Linked DNA regions of Tamandua tetradactyla. The protein of the gene in region 1 interacts with the protein of each later gene in a biochemical or structural test. Links are inferred from orthologs where the notes say so. Each region holds a gene or a part of one and is shown on either strand. Other genes may lie near its edges.

Evidence for each region.
Region 2: the proteins of SNTB2 (region 1) and PTPRN form a complex in vitro, tested with the Homo sapiens proteins (2 studies listed by BioGRID and IntAct). The link is inferred for Tamandua tetradactyla from reciprocal best matches to the Homo sapiens genes SNTB2 and PTPRN.

Annotation. Positions count from the first base shown.
Region 1 is NC_135342.1:63,167,361-63,178,900, reverse strand, and holds the start of SNTB2 (beta-2-syntrophin), read right to left. Parts: upstream 6,273-11,540; 5' UTR 6,229-6,272; coding exon 5,649-6,228; intron 1-5,648. UniProt on the Homo sapiens protein: Adapter protein that binds to and probably organizes the subcellular localization of a variety of membrane proteins. May link various receptors to the actin cytoskeleton and the dystrophin glycoprotein complex.
Region 2 is NC_135329.1:195,055,065-195,066,604, forward strand, and holds the start of PTPRN (receptor-type tyrosine-protein phosphatase-like N), read right to left. Parts: upstream 7,335-11,540; coding exon 7,277-7,334; intron 6,818-7,276; coding exon 6,767-6,817; intron 6,390-6,766; coding exon 6,276-6,389; intron 4,082-6,275; coding exon 3,985-4,081; intron 3,100-3,984; coding exon 2,838-3,099; intron 2,754-2,837; coding exon 2,405-2,753; intron 2,000-2,404; coding exon 1,865-1,999; intron 1,266-1,864; coding exon 1,231-1,265; intron 524-1,230; coding exon 249-523; intron 50-248; coding exon 1-49. UniProt on the Homo sapiens protein: Plays a role in vesicle-mediated secretory processes. Required for normal accumulation of secretory vesicles in hippocampus, pituitary and pancreatic islets.

The DNA.
Region 1 (11,540 bases):
ATGTAAGTACTGTTATACTGTTAAGTAGAAAATGCAAGCATTACTTATCATTCAGTTAGTTGGACAGTGTGCCAATTCATCCAAGGACACTGATTGAATCCTTGAACAGTCAGTCGGCACAGAACAACAGAACACTGTTCCATAGTCTCACGCTGTACCTTACCCCTTATGTACAAAGGCACACATTTGGTCACAAAGTAAAATAACCTTTATACAAGAAAGTCTACACAGGAGGGAAGACATCAGCCAAAGCTATCCTTGAGATCTAAGTTAAAACCTGGCTATGGTCCCTAAAAATGTTCTTAGAATTTTCATAGCCATTCTGAGAATAAATCAACTTCTCTTATATTTTGATAATAATCTGAGGTACATATTTTAGCATGAAGGGGATTCTATAGGAAATAATCTGGTTACAAAGATATAGCTTCTCATATAAGCATATCTAATCATTCAAGTGAAACAAAGTGCTATTAAACAAAAAGAAACAAGTACAAAAACATAAGCATCCTGGTAATTCAGCTGTTTTTTAAGAGTCAGATTAATGAACATGCAGTCTGAAACAAAATGTAAAATGTCTTCTCTAAGAGTCTCGCAACTTGTACAACAAACAATAAAGAAAGTGGTAGTACAAGAATCCAGACCAGCTTTTTTAACTTTACATCCTAATAGGGGAATTTGCTACTGTAGTAGTTGCTATTATGACATGTACATTTATTATATGTCCCCAAAGAGTCAAATTATACATATCACTCAAAATCTCAAACCATTCTGGATACAAAAAAATGTTCAATTCTGAAGTTGAATATCATACCAGGCCACCTCCTTTCTATACTTAACTTTTTTTTTTTTCTTTTCTAGAAAATTCAGGAACAATACTGTTAGAATCATTTTTAGGCAATAAAATATGAACTTTCAACAATATTCCAGTGAGAACTGCCTAAAAAAATATACATTTTTATCAAATATCAAACTTCAAGCTGGGCACTTTATACTGTTTCCCCTATGCTCTGCTGGAATACTTTTCTACATGTAGTTTACTTAATGTTCATTTAATTTCATAGCCTTAAAAATATAAATTTAGAAGCTTTCTGGATACACCTATTTCTAGCACAAAGGATACAGTAAATTCAATACACAATGTCTAATAGCTGAGTAGCATCACCACTTTATGTTTACAATCTGCATTATTAATACGAAGGCTATCTAATCTGCATGTCTTAATATCGGTGCTAAGAATCACTAGCCAAAGCTACAAGCACAAACTTACTGGCAAGTTTTAAGGTTCGAAGTGTGAAGAAAGAGGGAAAAAAAAAATCTAAGGGATGGGAAATTTAATGCAAAATTTAAGAATAAAAATGTACTATGCGAAAGGTGGTAGAAGAGCAGGAAAACAAAATTCAAAAAAGTCATTTGCATCCAAGAAATACAAACTTTCTTAACCTATTTACATAAAACAATTGTTATTCTTATCCTGCATTGCTTTTCAGGTAAAATGGAGCCCTGTATTTTAACAATATGCTTTCCTGGGTATCTTTGTTAACTCACAAATGCCTTCATAACCTGGTCCTATCTCTCATTCACACGTTTAAACATTTTGTTCACTGCTGTATTCCCAACCATTAACAAGAGCCAGGACAGTGAATCAAAAAAGCCAAAATGCCCTTGGGGGACTGGGGAGAAAGGAGGGAATATTAAACTTTCCCATTTGGAGCATTCTTGATATTCTTGGAAGCAGTGGGGACAAACAAATCAATAGGCTGAGGCTTCGCTCTTGGGTTTCAGTCCTATGGAACTTATTCCTGAAAAGGATAAACTAAGCCTACTCATAATTATGCCTAAGAGTTCGTTGCTCAGGTGTGGCCTTTCTCTCTAAGACAACTCGCAGGTGAACTCAATGCCCACCCCCCCCATGTGGGACATGACTCCCAAAGGGTGTAAATCTCCCTAGCAATGTGGGACAGCACTCCTGGAATGAGCCGGGACCCAGCATCATGGGATTGAGAAAACCTTCTTGACCAAAAGGGGGAAGAGAGAAATGAGACAAAATAAAATCTCTCAGTGGCTGAGAAATTTCAAATAGAGTCGAGAGGTTATCCTGGAGGTTATTCTTATGCATTATATAGATTTCCCTTTCTGGTTTATGGTATATTGGAATGGCTGGAGGGAAGTTATCTGAAACTGTTGAGCTGTGTTCCAGTAGCCTTGACTCTTGAAGATGACTATGATACAGCTTTTACAATGTGACTGTGTGATTGTGAAAACATTGTATCTGATGCTCCTTTTATCCAGGGTACAGACAGATGAGTAAAAAAAATGGATAAAAATAAATAAATAATAGGGGGAATAAGGGGTAAAATAAATTGGGTAGGTTGAAATACTAGCAGTCAATGAGAGGGAGGGGTAAGGGGTATAGAATGTATGAGTTTTTTCTTTTATTTTTTTTATTTCTGTTTCTGGAGTTAAACAAATGTTCTAAAAATGATCATGGTGATGAATACACAACCATGTGATATTATGAACCACTAATTGTACACCAAGTATGGAATTATGTGTGTGAAGATTTGTCAATTAAAATAAATTTTTTTAAAGTGCTAGGAGCACAAATTGTTATCAGATGAATAATAACCCTTTGGGAGAGGTATTATTACCACTTAATTTTACAAATGAGGAAACTGAGGCTGAGCAAGGTTTAGTAACTTGCCCAGGCATACCATAAATAGCAAAGCCAGAAATAAACTCAGGTCTGTCTGACCACCAAGTCCTTGCTCATACTCTACCCTTACTAGGCAGAAAAACTTAATGTCCTGCACTTCTGTGTCTTTACTGATGAAACTCTCTCTTCTTAGGGCAAAGCTCTCATCAAGCTTCAACCTTTTCCTGTACATCCTCAACCTCTGATTTCCACTGTGGACTTATGTACAACTCTCTCTCCTTTGTGCTGTGCCCTCTCCAGACCTGTTATAATAGCACTTTTAGCCCCTTACTATACTTACCTACTTAGCTCTCTTATTTTAACTCTAAGCTCTCTGAGGGGAGGAGTCAAGCGTCTCTGGCATATGATAATGTTCAATAAATGTTTGATGAATTAATTAATGAACAATCCCTACAAATCACTGGGACAAAAAGGGGCCCTATAGCTCAGTTCCCTAAGCACAGGCAACCAGAGATACGGCATGAGGGTGGCAAGGACATGCTTGAAATTCCCTGCCCACAACATAAAAGAGCATCACTGTGCTATATTAAAGCAGTTTTCAAGTTTTGAGACATCTAATTGAAAGGACAATACAGTATGAAAATCTTAAGGGCCAAGCATAAAATCTATCATTTAAAACTGGCCTACAAGTCTGGGATCTGTCCTGTAACTACTTGTTGAAGAGTGCTTTGAAAACTATTGCTTTTTTATTTCTTTGCTTTGTATATATATCATATAAGAAAATTTAAAAGTTTAAAAAAATTATCTATATTCAAGAAACAAAATCAAGTTTTAAAAAAATAATGAGGGGAAAAAAAAACTGGCCTATCAGGAAGGGACACCAGCTCTCAATTTTAAATATCGCTTGACTGTTTCAATTAAGTCACTGTTCTCAGTGACTTTGCGTATTTGGAGTAGTTTTATTTTTTATACTCCTTGACTTCAAAATGAAATGTCATAAACCTACCATACTGACTTACACCAATAAAGACAAAACTGCTTGTCTTTTACCAAATAGGAAAATAAAGTAGAACCTGTGTGTTACGTAAGAAGCATTCAATAAGTATGCCATTGTAAATTATCTTTCTAAAAGCAGATGTGTCTTCTTTAGGCTAATGAATACTGGGTAGTATTTTCTAGATGGTTTTCATTTTACTGATAGGAAAACCAGGTTCAAACTATATTAAAAAAAAACAAACAAACTTTTTTAAAGGTATCTTGTAAAGGGCTTACTGTTTGCCGGTCATCACTGAGAACTACAAAAACAGTACTGAATTCAGTATTCTGGCCCTGGGAATTTATAACCAAATGCTTAGCTGGACTAATTTCAAGGTACACATTTAAGATAAAAAAATTTTTTTACACACACACTGCTCAATCATAACCTATAATTTAACTCCTTTTTTTAACACTAATTTCTGACAGTGAGTTGTCTAGCCCCACTACATAGTATACGGGATATAAAAAGGACTTATAAATAGGATATTATAAAAGCCAGACTCCTTAATTTTACAATTGGAGCCCATTAAATCACTGACTTGCAAACTAATACATTTCTAAATATTCTCAAGCAGAGTTGGAAAAAAGTGAAAAGCATTTTCCAAAGCTAGAACTCTAACTGCTTAGTCTGATGATTGGTTCCCCGACGTCCATCCCTTCTCTCCAGTTGCTGCTCTGCCAGGAATACCCTCCTGACTCATCCCTGTCTAAGTCCATTACTTCCTTTGAGACCTGGCTCAAGTTTCAGCTCCCTGAAAAAGTCCTCCCTGAGTAACCCCCATTTCCACTACTTCCTAACTTTGCATTCTCTTGACACTTACAGTTTGCAGTAAATAATCAAGCTGTTTTTCATTTTTTCTACCATTTCCCAAACGAGACCAAGCAGGGACAGCATCCTCTACTTCTTTTATATTATCATCTACATAGGCAGCTAATAAATGCTTATTAAATGATTAAATCACCATAAAAGAAAGAAAGCCTACCGCGCAAAACTTTCTGAAGCAACCACTTGGCTTTTCAGATCACATTCATAATACTCTATCACCACGCATGAGTCCTTAGAGGAGATGAGAATATTGCCTTATTTCCAAAAATTCATCATAAAAGATCCAGGCTACAGATTGCTATCATATCTCTCTCTCTAAGATAAAGAACAATCCTACCTATTCAAGCATAGCTTGTTATTTGCCATTTCAAGCTTCTTATATAAGAAAAGGCTTAATAGTCTTGAAGCAGCACGCCGGTGAAGGGTAGGAAGCTGGCACCGGTCTCTTGCAAAAGGGGCAAAACTCTAGTTGGCAGTAAATGTTCAAACACGTGAGCCTCCACTGTTAAACAAGGCTCATTAACCACCCAAACTTGCTGTTTCAGCTTTCTGGACTCAATGAAGTGCTATGATCTCCTTTTGTTATTGTTGAGAGCCAATGATGGGTTAAACTCCCATAAATTAACTGGCGTTTTGGTGGTTTGCCCAAGCATACTGCTGGCATCAGTGTGGATGAATTTTTTTTTCACAGACCCGCCCGCCCCAGGCAGCCAGAGGTGAATGAAGAAAGAGCCAACCCGGCCCTTCTCAGCCGACAAACCGAGACCTACAGAACTCGAGCCGTCCGGTCTTCCTCTAGTTCTTAGTGTCAGCTAATCAGGCAGGGGGGAGGGGGGAGACATCCTACGCGGCTGCTTTGGACTGACCGCAACCCAGCCTCCCTTGGGGGCTCTAAGCCACGCTTCGGCGGCTGCCCAACTTTTGCTACAAGGAGCATCAGTTTTTCCACACTGGAAGCCCCCAGAAAACTGGGTCCGGGGAGGGACGCGCCACGAGGAGCGGGGACGGACAGCATTCCCGGCGGGGTGGGGGGGGAGAACAGGCCCTCTCCGCAAAGGGGGCAGGGTGACAGAAACAAAGTGAGCGCAGTGAGCCCGAGCGCCGCCCGGCCCGCCCGCCGGCCCCGCTCACCCTCCAGCAGCACCTCCTTGCCCGCGCGCTTCAGCGCCTGCACGGCCTGGTCGTGGGTGGCCTGGCGCAGGTCGGTGCCGTTCACCGACAGGATGGCGTCGCCCAGCCGCAGCGCCCGGCTCTGGTCGGCGGCCAGCCCCGGGAAGATCTTGGAAATGAGGATCGGCATCCGGTTCTCGCGGCCGCCCTTGATGCTGATGCCCAGGCCGCCGGCCTCCTGCTTCACTACCCGCACCCGGCGCACGGGCGGTGACGCGCCCGCCTCGCCCGCCTGGCCCCGCGGCGGTGCGGGCGGGCTCGGGGGCCCCAGGCCGCGGCTCGGGCTCCCCGGCAACGAGTCGCCGGCGCCGCCGCCGTTCGGGAGGCCGTTGAAAGCGGCCGCCCCCGACCCCAGAACCGGCTCAGGCTCGGCCGCCGCGGCGTCGCCCGTCAGGCTCAGGCTCTCGCCGCTTAGTTCGGCCACCACCCGGACCCAGCGTTCCCTCAGCAGCAGCTCCACCAGCCCCGCTTTGGTGGCCCGTGTCCACACCGCCATGGCCGGTCCCGCTCCCGCCGCTGCAGTCGCCGCAGCTACCCTCATTCCAGTCAGGCAGCCTCGGCGCTTCCCCCTTCCCGCCCGAGGGGGTGGGCCCGGCACCTCCTCCCGCAGCGATTCATTATTCATGAGACGCCACGCCCACCTCCCGAAGGGGCGGGGAGAGGCCCGCGCAGCCGCTTCCGGGAAGGTAAGAAGTTGCTGCGAGTGGGGTCCCTCAGCCGACTTGGACCTGGTCAAGCGGAGCATGGTGGGGCTCCCTTGCACGTCGTCCTTCCATTCGTTCCCCCCTGCTCTATCAAACCCCTGTTCTCTACCGTGCAATTCACCTGAGCTGCCTGGGCACAGAAAGCAAATTCAGTTTCGAGAAACACTTTGCAAGCCTGCAAGATCTGAGTTGCACATTCACTCTTGCATCGATTGGTTCCTTCCGTATTTATTGAGCGCTCAGCCGTGTGTCTGGCTTCTGTTGAGGCCCTAGAGATGAGCTGAATAAAATGTACCAGAGCTAAGCGCTCACGGTCTAGTGGGGGAAGAAAGGACATAAACAACCAATAGGGATGATTCTATGTGCTTAATGACAGAGAGCAGAGTGAAAGGAGCATCTGGTTCGGCACAGGAATCAGCTTCAGAGAGGCGACAGGGGAGGGCGATCAGCTCAAGAAGAGGAAACTATAAGCAAAGGTCCAGTGACATGAACCCAAGCACTTGGCCACTCTGCTCTGTAATACTTTTTACTTGCCTATAATTTGAGAGGGGACCATGTGTTCTTCAGCCCTGCAGCCACAATAGGTAAGCTTCAAATATATTTGCAGAATGATGTTACTTAGGAAGATGCCAAAATTCCAATGTGAACAGAGACAGATAGCTTCAGTGGAGGCCGCAGGCTATGAATGTGAAGTGCCTCTGTAAATCTGGGGGCCATGATCTCTTTGTTCTGGGGATCCCCAGAAACTGTATGTCAAATTTAGCCTCTAAGGTAATTTTTAGAGCCCATAGCTTTTATTCATTTTGCAGAGAACTCCCAGGACAAAAGACCCCAAACTGCTGCTGTGCATATTGCAGAACCTGCAACAGTTTTTATCTGAGGACTTAAGTAGTACGATAATCTGTCCACCTTTTCCAGCTTCGTGGAAGAAGAGCTGAAAAAAAACTGAGCGCCAAAAAGCCAAAGGCTCTTCCTGTCCAGAGTTCATGGTGAGGAACAGAGATCACAACTCCTTCAAATCCTCCTACCTCCTAATCCAGTGCTTTTCACTAATATGTCAGACCTCAATAATGAGAAAGAAAGTAGATTTAAGGTTACCAGGGCCTGGAGTGGAGAAAGGGGAATTGGGGAATAAAAACTAATAGGTACAGTTTCTGTTTGGGTTGATGAGAACGTTTTGGTAATGGGTGACAGTGATAGCAGCACAATATCATGAGTGTAATTAATATCACTGAATTGAACATACGAAAATGACTAAAATGGGAAATTGTGTGTTGTATCTATGTTACCACAATAAAAATTTTAAAAAGGGGGGGATCCAGAAATCATATTGCTGAAAACAGAGCTCTCAGCAAAAACATGAGGTCAAGGGGCCCTCAAACTTTCCTTCAGCATTAAAAGTGAAATCCCATGTTTCCATTTTGGGGCCAGGCAGGCAGAAGGAAAGTGCATCAATTCCTGTAAAAGGGGCTATATACCTAATTGCTTGTGGAGCACACGTTGAGGCTTATAAACCATGTCCATGCACCACTCTAAATGCACATTCATATGTGGGCAGAAACTTCTAAAGAGCCTCCTATACCAGGAATGAAAACAATAAGGATATGGGCTGGGAGGTACCCACAGCCTAAAGAAAGAGTTTAAAATGAGAAAAGTATCCTACCAAAAAAATCATTACAATAGATTCCTATTTGCAATTAGTGGGACAGGATTTCCCAAGCTGCAAACATCAGCAAAAGCTCAACCCTCCAGCTGTCTCCTGAATCAACTGCAATGAGGCCAGCTCGCTGTCTTGGCAGGTCCCGATGTGCCCAAGTGCACCTGCAGTCACAGACATTTCTGGATTTGCTCCGCTGAGGGGTGAGCCTCCAGAGGCCTGAGTTATATGAAATTTCTGCTTATTAGAGAGCACTTAGTTGATTCCTTAGAGTATGAGCACTATTTTTAACACTTTAACACTAATTACTCAGGGGTTAGATACTTGAGGACACTTTTAAAAGCAAAAGGGAAGTGCTGGAAAGTCTTTCCAAGACTATCAAAACCTTTTGGTCAACAGAGTTGGACAAAGTCAAGGATCTTCAAACTAGAAGTGAGGGCACTTACACAAGATAGCAAGTCATATAACAAAATATCTAACATTTAGAGAAGAAAGCAAAGATTGGTATTTGTATGATTACATGAAGAATTTTCCTTAATAACCTTTTTAAATCCCTCCATAAAAAATGCCCAAATTCTCCAAGTGTATTTACAAGGCCCTCCACAATTAGAATCTGAATTAACTTGTCAACATTCTCTTTCATTACTATTTTCAGATCTGCCAAACTAATGCAGTGTCCCCCAGTGATATCTTCCAAATATCTGCCCCCTTCAAACTCATTCCACCTAACAAGATCTTATCCCAGCTTTAACTACTAGCCAACTGGTGGGGATTCTTCTTTTGATGTTTTTCCTATGCCTGTTTTTTTTTTGTTTTTGCCCAAGCAGATTATAATGTATGAAGGATAAGGAACACCCATTGACTTATAATTATTCCCCACTATTCCAAACCGATTGCCATGCACAGAAGGAACTCAGCATGTGATTGATTGAAATCCAGTGCTTCTCATACTGTGATTTTTTCAAATAATCCCTCTGATGGTTATTGGTTTCTTTTTTTTTTTTTTAACAACTCTTTTTTTTTTTTTATTAACATGGGCAGGCACCAGGAATCAAACCCAGGTCGTCTGGCCTGGCAGGCAAGCATTCCTGCCTGCTGAGCCACCGTGGCCTGGTTATTGGTTTCTTGAAGAGTGAAAATGATCATCTAGGAAATCTCAAGTAGTCAGTGAAAATATGCTTACTGTGGATAATGAAACCTGAAATAAAGAGTATACCTATGTTTCCACAGTTTCTTAAAGACAGTGACACAGCTTAGGTAATTCTCTCAACAGACATTTTATCTAACTCTAAAAAAGGAAATTTCTGATTCTTGCTAACATTTATTCCTATCACCTATCAATATCTATTCTCCTCTACTCAAACTGTTATCTCTATTATTTCTCTAAGGGAAAAAGGGATCATTGTTACTTTTGAAATAAGGGTGATTAGGTCTCTCAGTTTCACCTTACAATTTTGTGACTAAGGTTCTGATTCTTGCTCTCTTAAATCCCATATTTGAGGGGAAGAATTTTTTTTTTTTTCTTCTCCCTCCTACTAGATATATAGTAAGTATAGCATGGTAATTAAGAACACAAAGTTCAAATGCTGGTTTGGTCACTTACCAGCTATATGTCAATGGTCTAGGGACTGAGGTCTTTGGCCTTAAGTTTCTTCTATGGAAAAATTCAGAAACCTTCTACCTCTAAGGGTGGTTGTGAGGATTGAGTGGGATGATGTATGCAAAGTGCTTAGCAGTACAGTGCCTGCCACACAGTAAAGGTTCCACAAAAAGTACTCAACTGCTGTTATTATTACCTACTGACCTTCAGTTGAGAGTTTATACTTTATCTAGGAATGAGTATGCCATAATGCCATTTGATTCCATGCTTAAAAGGTAAATGGTGTGGCAATTTCCATTTTTATAGCACCAGTGTTTATAGCAGCATTATTCACGTTTGCCAAGAGATGCAAGCAGCCCAAATACCCATCAATGGACTAGTGGATAAACAAGTTGTGCTGTATACATACAATGGAATATTACACAGCAGTAAGGCAGAATAAAGTCATGAAGTTTCCAATGACGTGGATGAATCTTGAGGACATTATCTTGAGTGAAATAAGCTCAAACGAAAAGGAAAAATATTGTATGGTCTCACTAATATGAATTAACATTAATGAGCAAACTTTGAGAGTTAAAGTTGAGAAACAGGTTTTCAATAGATAGAAAGAGGGTAGAGATTGGGTATTTGATCCTAAAGGAGCACAGAATGTGCAACAGGATTGACTGTATAGATCTAGAAACGGATAGCACAATACTATCTGATGGTAGCACAATATTCTAAGTACACTGAACAATAAGTGTGAGTATAGATGAAAAGAGGAAGGATAGGGGCATGTATGACACCAGAAGGAAAAATAGAAGATAAAGACTGGGACTATATAACTTAGCAAAACCTAGAGAGGTTAATGATAGTGATTAAATGTACAAATACAAGAAAGCTTTTACATGAGGGAGAACAAATGAATGCCAACACTGCAAGGTTGAAAACGGGATGGAATATGTAAAAAATACAATCAATGCAAACTAGACTTTATAGTTAACAATAACATTGTAATACGCTTCCAGTAAATGCAACAAAGGCAATGTACCAAAGCTAAACATAACTAAGAAGGGGGTATAAGAGAAGGGTATGGGGTTCTTGATGTTGGTGTTTCCCCTTTTTAATGATTTTTTTGTTGTTGCAGGTGCATAGGCCGGGAATCAAACCTGGGTCTCCCACATGGAATCTCCTTTTTATTTTTTTTCTTCATTTTTCTTTTTCTTCCTTTGTGGAAGAAATGGAAATGTCCTTATATAGATTGTGGTGGTGAATGCATAAGTAAGTGATTATACCAGGAACCACTGTTCACTTAGGATGGATAATATGGTGTGTGAATAAAACTTTTTAAAAAATAAAGATACAAGTGCTGGAGAAAATGCGGAGAGAGGGATATACTGTTCCCTATTCACTGTTCATAAAGAAGTAGAATGGAGCAGACCACATGGAGGGCAGAGTGGTGGTTCCACAGGAGGCTAAACACAGTAATATGATCCAGTAACCCCATTATTAGGTATATACTTAGAAGAACTGAAAGCAGGGACAGAAATGTACATTTGCACACTAGTATTTATGGTGACAGCATTCACAATTTGCAGTAGATGGAAGTGGTGTAAGGGGACATGATGAACTGAAAGAACTGTGGTCTATGCATACAATGGACTATTGAGTGGCTACAAGAAGGGATGAAGTTGTGAGGCATGCACCTAGGTAAAGACATTATGTTCAGTGAAATAAGCCAGAAACAAACAAAAAGACCAACATTATAATGCCTCACTAACATGACTAATTATAAATGTGCAAACTCAAAGAATTGAACCTAAGAGCACAGATTATTAGGGGAAGGCTTACTGTAAAGGTTCCTAGATTGTAAGCTATTACAGCAGTCATATATTCGGGAGTTGTGATGGTTT
Region 2 (11,540 bases), on another chromosome or scaffold:
CTCAGCCAAGATCTCCAGCAGCTTCACTCCTGCAGCCAAGCTTAGTGGCCTGGGGATGGGGAGCAGGCAGAAGAAGGAATGCGGGTGTCCCTCCTACCACTATTTCTTGAAACAGGCTACTCCTAGTGGTGCGGACAGCCCACCCTCTCCCTGTTTCCTTCACATCTGGATTTCTGCTCTCTGCTTCCTGCTTGGCAGGGCAGCCCACCCCTAGGGGACTGGAAGACTGCCCCAGCAGAAGCCCTTACTTCTGGTCAGTGACGATGTAGCCATACACCTCTGCTGACGGCCGAGCTGAGGGCTGCCCTGCCACTGTGGGCTGCCTCTGGCCCAGTGGACTTTTCTTCTCCAGGAGGACAGGTGTGGCAGGGGGGCTGGTAGTCTTGGGGGGCTGGGAGGAGCCAGAGCTCAGCACCTGCTGGTCTTTCTCAGAGGTGGAGCTGGGAGTGGAGTATTCAGGCAGGGAGGTTGTGGGAGGAGGGGGCTCCGCTGTATCTCCGCCCTGTGTCTGCACCTCCATTGTCTGTTTAGAAGAGAACCGAGAGGTATGTCCAAGCCTGGAAATGAACAAGGGAGGGGCTGGGGAGATCTTCACCCAGGGCTTGAGCTTCCCTCGGTGGAGTTAGGACCTGTTTATCTTTCTACTCCCAGGGTCCAGTGCCATGCTGGCCACAGAGAGGGCACCCAGAAATTGTAAGCCAAGTGGACAGATGACTGAATAAAGGATTGAGTGAATGGGGCATCAGTAACACTACACAGGATGGAGCTGGAGGCAGGGAGAACATTTGGAGTAAGGGAAGTTGGGGTTAGAGTCTACTCTAAGATAAATAAGTAGACAAAGATTTTTAGACTTTTGTTTTGGACACAAAATCTTAGAAGTACAACATGTAAAACAGATAGGTGCAGAGCTCCTCTGGCTACAGGGAGCCAGAAGCCTCCCTGCTTGCAATTCTCCTCTTCCCTGACTCCTCAGAGCATGATCTGTAATGACTGCAGTGAAAAGAACAGTGCATCAAGAATTCTGGCTTTTAGTCCCAGCTCCACCATCAACTTGATATGAAACTTAGGCAGCGACTTGTAGTCTTTGAGCCTCAGTTTATTTACCCTTTTATAAAATGAGGAGTTGGAGGATACAGATTCTGGGTTCTGACCCTGAAGTTTAGATTTCAGCAGGGCGTGGAGGGAGCTGCCATGGGGCACTTATAGGTCAGGGAGGTCCTGAGAACTTACTTTCTTGGTGTCAGCTCCAACACTTACAGCCCCTCCTGTAGGGAGAGGGAAAATGAGACTTCGGGCAAAAGGTCAAGGCTGAAATCCATACAACACAGGGGGGAGGAGGGGCCAAAGACTCTGAGCCTGTTATATCTGCTGTGGCCTCTCCCCTCAGTCACTGACCAAGTCCTTATTACAGGTCTCACCCTAAGTATGGCCTTACTTCTCTTGCTTCCTCTTTATAGTTCATTGTTTTATTAATGCTTCCCTCAGCCTCTGGCCACATCTCTCAAAGCTATTCTTTGTTCAGTCCTTCCTCTACCCATCAATTATTGGTTCATTCTTAACACTGGCCACACCACCCCAAGGTCCTCATTATCATTAACTACCCCTTCTTAGTGCCAACTTATCCCTAATCACACCTTCAGTTGATTCCTTTTTCCGTTATTTCCACCCTCCCATCCTTTTCTGGCCCGACCCCTCAGTTCACCACCTTACCCCTGGCCTTCATTGACAATGAACTTGGTTCTCAAAAGAATGCCCTTTCCTTGACCCTGACCCTTCCCCTCCAGGCTATTCCATGTGTTCATAAAAGGCAGTGCAAGAAGCCTTCATGGAACTGGGTTTGGCTGGTCTCTACCTGGACACTCACCCAGATTTCTTCCTGCGCCTTTTGGCAGGAACTGCAGTAGGGTGGAGAGGGTGGAGAGCTGCTCAGGAGTCAGCTGACGTAGCTCCACCCCGTAACCCGCCAGCACAGCTGCCAGTCTCTGCACAGTCACGTCTCCTGGGAGCCAGACACAGAACTTAGGGCTGCGGGTGGAATCAACTCGTGGGATGCAGACGGGTGAGTGGGGGGTGGGAGGACCTTAGCGCATTTATGAGCTCCTCAAACACCCAGACACCTGCCCTCCCCTTCTTAGCCATTGTCCTTCCAGGGCAAAGACCAAACTTCAGGGCCACTGTGGACTTCTGACTCTTCATCTCAAGAAGAGTCATGCCAGGTTCACTCACCACTGTATCCCCAGTGCTTACTAGTGCCTGGCACAGATCAGCTTATCAGTAAACAGGTAGTTACTGAATGAATAGCTTTAAGGAAAAATTAAGAAATGCATGGATAGTTAGGGAGGAGTCCCCAGGGTCCCCAAGCAGGCCCCACAGACAGGGAGGTAGACAGTGAGGACTCTGTTACCTGACTGGACTGCTGGAGAAGGAGGCTTCTTCCTGTGACCCCCAGGTCCTTCCTCCTCATAGTCCTCTGAAGAATCCTCTGTCTGACTCCCTTGCTCTGGCAGCCTTGGCATCTTGGCCCTGCTGGGCACTGGCAGCTCCTGGGCCAGGTAGAGCAGCCCTGAGTCCTGGAAAAGCTGAGCAGGTGAAGGCCCTGGAGGATCCCCATAGGTGTGGCCAGGATGGGCCTCAAACATGCCCTTGAAGGCAGCTCTACTGAAGAGGGCAGGGGGTTCAGCCTTGGGCAGGGGGCCAACATTGACCATTGCTTGGGAACTCTCTGAGTTCCGGGAGCCATCGTGGGAGCCAAACTGTGGGAAACCAGAGGTCCTTGTAAGATGGGTAGCCAGGACTGGAGGATTGGGGTTGGGGTATTGCTAAAGTCTAGGGCTCACCTGCTGGAACAGGTAGGGCTGTAGCAGGGCAGGTTCATAACTCAGAGCAGAATGGGGGGTCTGTGGGGGCAGCAGCAGATGCTCTAAAAGAGGAGGAAGCAGCTCGGCCTGCAGAGGGGACAGGGGGGAGCCCACCCCAGCTCCACCCCCACCTGGCAGAGGTCGAGGAAGCCGGTGCTGGGTGGCAGGGGCAGAGCCAGTGGGGATGCCCTGTAAAAGCAGCTCCCCAGTGGTGGCAGGTCTCCTGGACACCAAGCCAGATCTGGGGAGGAAAGTAAAGTGTGCATTTGTGTGTACTTTAGTTGTGGTAGCAAGTGTATAGAGAGCCTAAAGAGGCAGAGATGGTGGGGACAAACCAGCCTTAGCAAATCAGAGTGGGCCCGTCCTCTTGAGAAATGAGGTGACTGCAAGGGAGGAGAGAGTAGCATGGGGAAGGGCTAGAGGGTGAAGCCTAGGACAAAGTCCATCTGCCTCCCTGCTAAGCATGCCTAGGATGCCCAGATGCAGCTGCAGAGGTTAGGGAAGATTGAGGTTAGGTATGGAGAAGGGGAGAACAGGAGCAGTAGAGAGCAGCTGGGAGCCTTTCTAGATAAACTGCAGCTCGAGGCTTGCTCATTGCTTCTATGTGCCATGTTTCCAAAATGTGGCCTTTCAAGTGTATGTTTGAATATTCAGGACTGCCTCCTCCCACCACCCACCTTGTACATCTGATATCATCACCTGAGCCCCATGGGCCTCATTTACTTCCCCCTTGCTTTAGTGGCCCTAATCACAAAAAGATAATGGTGCCTCCTGCCATATGTAATTCTACATAAGAACCAAACAAGTATTAAATAACTCAGGTCCAACAAAATTATAATTTGCCCCATGCTGACAACTTTCTCACTTATCTTGGAACACTAGATGTCAGTGTTTTTCAAAGCAGTTTTTAATGCCTCTGTTTTGCTGGCTCCTCAGGAATGAGCTCAGCTCCTGTTGGATATGTGGCAGTGTCAGAGGGTGACCATTCAAGGGTCTTTTTAACCTGTGCCACAGCTCCAGCCTGCTGACTTTGATGCCCACTTCCCTCCCCCTTCCCTTCATCCATCAGAGTGACCACAGACCCAACAGACTTGCCATGCTACTGTTGTCAAGAAAGGCTGCCTACCTGTCCCTCAGGCGGGGCTCTGAGGAGCGAAGCCTGGGGATGCGCTCCATCTCCTGAGAGATGACATACTGGGTGAGGTCATCATGCCAGGACAATCCTGCCAGTAGACAGAATGGAGTGAGATTAGCTCCTGAGTTACCCCAAGGGTTCAGTAACAGGGACCAGTGGAGTCAGACTTCTTGGGTTTGAATCCTGCCTCTGTCACTTACTAACTGAGTGAATCTGGGCAAGTTACTGAATTTCTCTGAGCCTCAATTCTCTCATTTGTGAAGTGGGGATTCATACCTTCTATGACTTTTGTGGTCCTTAAAATAACCCATATGAAATATTTGGAATAATGACTGTCACATAGTGAACATTCAATAAGTGTGATTATCATCCTCATCATCATGACTATTAACGATTATTCTTTTTGCTGATCCCTACCCTTAGTTTTCCTTATCTGTATGTAAAGTGGGAATAATACATATTCCATGGGGCTGTTGTGAAGATCAAGTGAGATCAGAGAAGTGAAAAAACTCAAAAGTACTATACACATGTTTTAAACTCATCATCATCTTATCCTGAGGCAGATCTGAAACTGTACTCTTGGGAAAGGTCAGTTTTTATTCCAAAGGAATCATCTTCTACTTTCTACCCCCATTCTTTCTTTCCTGCTTCTGGACATGTAATCTATGGTACATGGCTAAATCCAGTGGTCAAGTTTCAGATATCATCTTACTTAATCTATCATCATTTGACACTCCTTCCTCCTTGATAAACTTCACTTGGCTTCTGGGAACCAGTTAGTCTTGGTTTTCCTCCAACTTCACGGGCTCCCCATTCTCAAACTCTCTTATTGGTTCCTCTCCTCCTGGTCCTCTAATATTAGAATTCTTTAACACTCAATCCTCAGTCCTCTTCTTCATATATATTCAATCTTTTGGCTATCTCATCCACTCCATAGCTTTAATTACATCTATATTCCAAAGAATTCCAAACTTATATCTCTACTCCAGACCACTCTCTTGAAGACCAATCTCATAAACTCAATTTACCACTCTACTTAAATATCTAATAGACATGTTCAAACATGTTCAAAACTGAATACCTCCCAAGTTGATCCTTCTGCAACTTTCCACACATTAGTTGATGGGATCTCCATTGAGTCAGTTGTTTAAGCAATAGGACCTTGGTGTCATCTTTGATGCCTCTCTTTCTTTCACAGCCCACATCCAATATGTCAAGAAATCATGCTGACTACCCTAAATAGATATGCTGAATCCTATCACTCTTCACTGTTTCCTTGCAATTACCCTGGTTCTAGCTGGCCTCACCTCTCACCTGGATTATTGTGGTAGCTTTTCATTGGTCTTCTTGCTTCTGCCCTTGGCTCTTTACATTCTAGTGATCCTTTTTAAGTAGAAGTCAGATCATGCAACCCTGTGCTCAAAATCTTGTGATGGCTTCCTCTTTCACTCAGTGTAAAAGCCTATGTCCATCCAGTATCCTATAAGACTCTATAATGATAAGGCTCCTATAAAGTTCTATAATGATTTGTGCGCACACACACATTATCTACCTGACTGCATCTTCTCTTTCCCTCCATTACTCTTCTACAACTACACTGGTCTCCAAGCTGTTCCTTTAATCAGTGCTCCTGCCTTAGGGCTTCTGTTCTAGCTGTCCTGTCTGCCTAAAACACTCATTTCCAGAATAAACTTCTGGAAAAGTACCTTATGAAATTCTTTAAATTTCATAGTGTCAGTAAGATCTACTTGGATCACCCAACTTAATACTGTATTTTACACCATTTCTGATCCCTTTTATCCTGCTCTAACATTTTATTTTTCCATGGCACTTATCATCTTCTAACATACTTATATTTTCTATATACTTTATATGGTATATCCCCACCTCCATCCCTGAATGTAAACTTCAAAAGGCAAGGATCTTTGTCTGCTTTATACCCAGATTTATCCAAAATATCTAAAACAATGCCTTTTGTATGTTAAGCACGCAATAAATATTTGCTGAATGAATTAAATGGATAGGTGGGATACGCTCCTGGCTGAAAACCCCAGGATTTCTGACTCTGGAGCACCCAGACAGTTCCAGAGGGTGGGGCTGGCCTTAAGGAGATGGAAGCTGGCCTCTTTCAGTGGTTTCTTCTAGAAGTAGATATGTAGGAATGTTCCATGCAGAGATGTTTGTGATAGGAGAAAGCCTGTCCTCAGGTTAGGAAACTTCTCAGTTTCCCACCCACATATAACCAAGTTCCATCTTTCTCCTCTAGTACACCCAGACCTCACCTTGGGACATGAGTTGTCGGAGCACACCTTGTAAACGCTGGAGAACTGGGGAAGTGACTTGCAGAAGGGGCCGGGCCTGCCCCACTCCCACCTGGCACTGTCCAAACAAGCCATCTAAGAGCACAAAAGTGGCGTCAGCAGGGGGCTTGGAATGGGAGGCTTCCAAATTCAGGTTGCAAATGAACAGAACTCTTTCCACTTTCTTTTGTGGTTTCAGAGAGCTCTACTTCTCCAAGCCAGCCCCCTTCTCCACAGGGCCAATATTTCTCCTCCCTTCTGGTCTTCCTCCCTCCACTTCTTTTTATTTAGCTTTTTTTTTGGGGGGAGGTGAGGTGGGGAAAGAGAGAGGCTGCATAGTTCAGGAATCGACCCTGACTCTCTCGCATGGAAGGCGAGCATTCTACTACTGAGCCACCCGTGCACCCCCTCCATTTCTTTTTTATTATGTCATCCCAGTCTTACGATTCTTATGCCCGGGCCTCCTCACTCACCCTGAATACAGACTTCAAGGTGAGAGCACAGCCTCCGGTCAAACAGGCAGCCTGTAGAGGGATGGGGGAGCAGAGACTCAGACACCCACCCACACATCAGATGATCAGAGGCACATGCCCAGAAAGCAGGAAACAGATGGGGTCCATTCCTTCATTCCAAGGAAGGCTTTAAGATTGGAGGAGAGTAGGGAAGTGCCTAGAATACTTAAGAGAAAGAAGAATGGGACCTGGATTTGGATTTTTAGGATCTGCAAGACTAGATCTTTTCCCTAAAAGCCAATTTGCTCAATTGGCCAGCAGGGAGAATAAGCGAGTGTTGGTGAAGGATGGTATATTCCACTCTCACAGAATTAATGTGGGAGAGTTCTGAGCTAGATTCTGGGGAACAGGGGACTTTCCTTTCCAAATATCCATAATCATTCTAACAATGATGGCTTGGAGCTCAGAAAAGGCGACAACCCACACATACTCTGTGGGGTAATGAGATAGAGGCAGCGCCCCGCCCCATACCAAAAGAAAAGGGAACGATCCTGGCCACAGCCCCTCCTGTTTGCCTGCCCCAGGGCATTGGGCGCTGTCCTCGGTGCTGAAGTTCTGAGCCTGGAGCTGCTGATGGCTCGTCTGGAGGCAGTTTCGGGAGAGGAAGGGGTGACCGGGCGAGAAGTCTCCACAAGAACCTCTGTCCCACCCCTCTTGCACCACTTTGCTAGCCCCCAGAGCCATAGGAAGTACTCTGCATTGGCCTCCAAGCCCGACTGGGGAAAGGGGGGGCCAGACCGCGAGGCTGCGCCCCTCCCCACCCGGTGCCCCCCCACCCCGCCCCCGGCCCGTGAGTCAGCGCTGACTATCTCTGTCCGCTCAGATGTGAGTCAGCACCGGGCCTGGTTGTGAGGAGGGGTCGGAAAGGGACCCTTCCCTCTCTATCCTCCGCTGCCCTTTTCTCTCGCTGTACCTCTCTTATCGGAGATAAGATCGCAGCAAGCCCTAAAGAAAAACCCTGGCCCTTTCCTTGGCCCAGCCCTCTACCGGGAGCCGAGACCCCGATGCCCGCAGCTCAAGCTCCTACTGCCGGAAGATCCCCGTTCCTTTTGCTCCCGCCTGCTTCCTACCCCTCAGCGCCGGCAACAACCTCCCTGGTGCCTCGATGCGACTTGTGAGGTCCTGTAGGCCGGTTCTAAGTCCCTTTGCTTTATGCACCCCATCCCTCCTCCAGAATCCGCTATCTTCCCCTGAGCCTGCTTCTCTTAGGTCCCGCCCCAGGATTCCGAGCCCCACCTCCAGGCCTACGCCCCTTTCCTTCCAGAAGCCCTCTCACCTTTCTCAGCATGCAGTGTCTCCCTCCACTCCCGCCCCCACCTCCCCACCCCCCCACAGTCTGTCTGTCTGAACTTCCCACCTTCGTGCCTCTCCACCCCTTCAGCCCTGGTTTTGCTCTCCGTCCCTCCCTTCCCACGTTTCCTCCTGACCGTGTGCACTGATGGCACTGCAGCCCCCCGGGCGGCTGCCCAGCAGCAGGAGGCAGAGGAGCAGCCGAAGACCCCTGGATCCTCCGGGACCCCCGGGCTGCCGCGGGCGCCGCATCCTTCCGAGCTCGGCGCGCTGGCTCCCGGGCCTGAGCCGCAGCGACGCTGGCGGGAGCCGGCCAGAGCGGCCACGAGGCGGAGTCTGCGCGCTCCTCTCGCGGCAGCTCGACCCAGTACTAGCGAGTGATGACGACACCGCCCACCCCCGGTTCTTAGGCCTATTTGCGTCATATATGGCGTAACAGCCCAGTCGTAGCGGGGTGCCTACCCTTTCCGTTCCTCCCCCACCAAATACTAGGCGCCTCACTAGAATTCCCAGTTGGCCAGCCACATCCCTGTTGGATATATGTTCTGCCCAGAACCACCACCTCTATCCCCCAGTCCCAGGGTTGGAGAAAAGGATTATAACTGGGTGAGGGCCAGGAAAGATAAGTGAAACGGGAGTGTAAACCCTGAGGCAAAGAGCAGAAAAATGAATAGATACCCTTACCCATCTTAATGAATGGTTCAGATGTCGTCCTTAGAAGAAGGAACTGAATTCCAGTTCTGGCAATACCTCCTACTTGGGGTATAACCTTGTTGCTGAACTTCTCTGCATCCAAGTTTCCTGATCTATAAATTGGGGATGCTAATAGTTCCTCCCTCATACGGTAGTTGTGAGAATTAAATGTATTGAATATATGTGAATCACTTAGAAAAGTGACTAACTGGCACATACTAAACTCTGCTAGTCACACACTAGCTTTTGCTATTAACCTTGGTTTTCTCTTTGTCTCAACACCCTGCACCCCTGCCAGCCCATCAACCATCTTATGGCTTATATCTGCAAAACACATCGCATGTCAGTCTACTTTTCTCCATACTCATCTAAACCACTGCATATTTTGTATCACCGCTGTGGCAGTAATCACCTAGCTGGTCTTTTGCTTCCATTCTTGTCAGTCTATGAGCTGGAGAGTGAGTTTTCTAAAATTCAAATTTGATCATATTACTCTCTTGCTTTAATAGTCTCCTATTAAACCCCGAAAAGTTTTCATACTTTAACAAAAAATTTCCAACATCCAAAAAAGAAAAAGATAAAAGTACATAGTAGGGCGGGCCACGGTGGTTCAGCAGGCAAGAGCGCTTGCCTGCCGTGCCAGAGGACCCCGGGTTCGATTCCTGGTGCTTGCCCATGTAAAAAAAAAAAAGGACATAGTAAACATTCATAAACCTATTAGCTAGTTTTAACAGGTTATTGAAATTTTGCCAAATTTGTGTAACTTAAGTATTTCAAAGTAAATTACAGATATCATGATATTTCACTTATAAATATTTAAATGTGCATATCAAAGAAACAAGGGACACTTTTTCACATAACCAAAATACTATTGTGACACCTAACAAAATTTACAATGATTCCCTAACATAATTTAATATTAAGTTCATACTAAAATTTCTCAAATTGTTTAAAAAATGTCTTTTTTCCAACTGACTTGTTCAAAACAAGAGTACATCCAGGATCATCATTGCATTTTATTAAGGTTCTTAATTTTCTTTTAAATTAATACAGACACTGCCATGCCCCCATTTTTTTGTCAGTCTTTTTTTTAAAAAAATGTATTTTTATTGAGATATCTTCATGCACACACAGTCCTTCCAAAGTATGCAATCAGTAGCTCACTATTTCATCACATAGCTGTGTATTCATCACCATGATCATTTTTAGAACATATGCATCATTCTATAAAAAGAAATAACAAGAAAAAAGAACAAAAAACATACATCCTATACCCCCTTACCCCTTCCTCTCATTGACCACTGGTATTGCAATCTACCCAATTGCCCCATTTTTTTTTGTTGTCTTGTTGAAGAGGCCAGATCAGTGTTTCTACAGAATTCTCACCTTCTGGATTTGTCTGATTGTTTCTTTGGTATGTTTACTTATTTCTCTATTCCTTGGAGTTCTTGTAAACTAAAAGTTAGATCTAAAGACTTGATTAGATCTAGTTAAAATTGTTTTAAGCAAAATGCTTTATAGGTGATGCTGGATGCCTCCAATTGCATCATTTCAGGAGATTTATAATGTCTGGCTATTCCATTATTAGTGATGATAAATTGATTATGGTAGAGATAGCCATATATTTGAATTTGTAAGGTTATGTTTCCTCTTGTGACCATCATATAATCTGTTCAATGATTCTTTGACATTGTGAGACTATCTAGTTCCCTACCAACTTTTTGTTTGGTTTTGTTTTCCTTATGGATATTCATATATATTCTTAACAAAGCTTTTATTAGGAATAATGCATGTTTTTTAACAAAATAACTTTCCCTTCAAACAAATCAGTATCAGAATCCTCAAATCACCAGAGCTAGTTGCTATAAACAAATTGATAAGTCTTTTTCTGTGAAAAAATAACTAGAATAGATGTTTTTTTTTTTACCTACAAAGACTAATACTATACAAGCTGTTATTAACCTGCTTTGTTCACTTAGCATGTTATGGATAACTTTCCGTATCAGTGCATGTAGACTTACCTCATTCCTCCTTTTTTTTTACCCCACCCCCCTATTTACTTATTTATTTATTTATTTATGCCTATATTTTCCTACTCATCTGTCCATACATTGGATAAAAGGAGTATCGGTCACAGGTTTTCACAATCACCGGGTCATACCATAAAAGCTATATAATTATACAGTCTTCAAGAATCAAGGCTAGTTGATTACGGTTCAATGGTTTCAGGCATTTCCCTCTAGCTACTCCAATATACCAAAAATTGAAAGGGGTATATATATATATATATATATTGCATAAGAAAAGCCTCAAGAATGACCTTACAACTGTATTTGAAGTCTCTCAACCATTGAAACTTTATTTTGTTTCATTTCTCTTCCCTCTTTTGGCCAAGAAGCCTTTCTCAATCCCATGATGCCAAGGGCAATCTAATGCCCAGGAGTCATGTCCGCATTTCCAAGGAGATTTATACCCCCCGGGAGTCATGTCCCATGTAGCAGGGAGGGAAGTGAGTTTACCTGCAGAGTTGATTTAAAGAGAGAGGCCACATCCGAGCAACAAATGTGGGGGTGACTCAGGCATAATTACAAGTAGCTTAACTGTTTACTTTGCAGGAATATGTTTCATAAGGCAAGCCCTAAGATTGAGGGCTTGGCCTATTAAATTGCTAGTTCCCAAATGCTTGCAGGTGGGAAAGTTTAATATTTCCTTCAGTACCTCAAGAGGACCTTGCCAATACTTTTTTATCTTC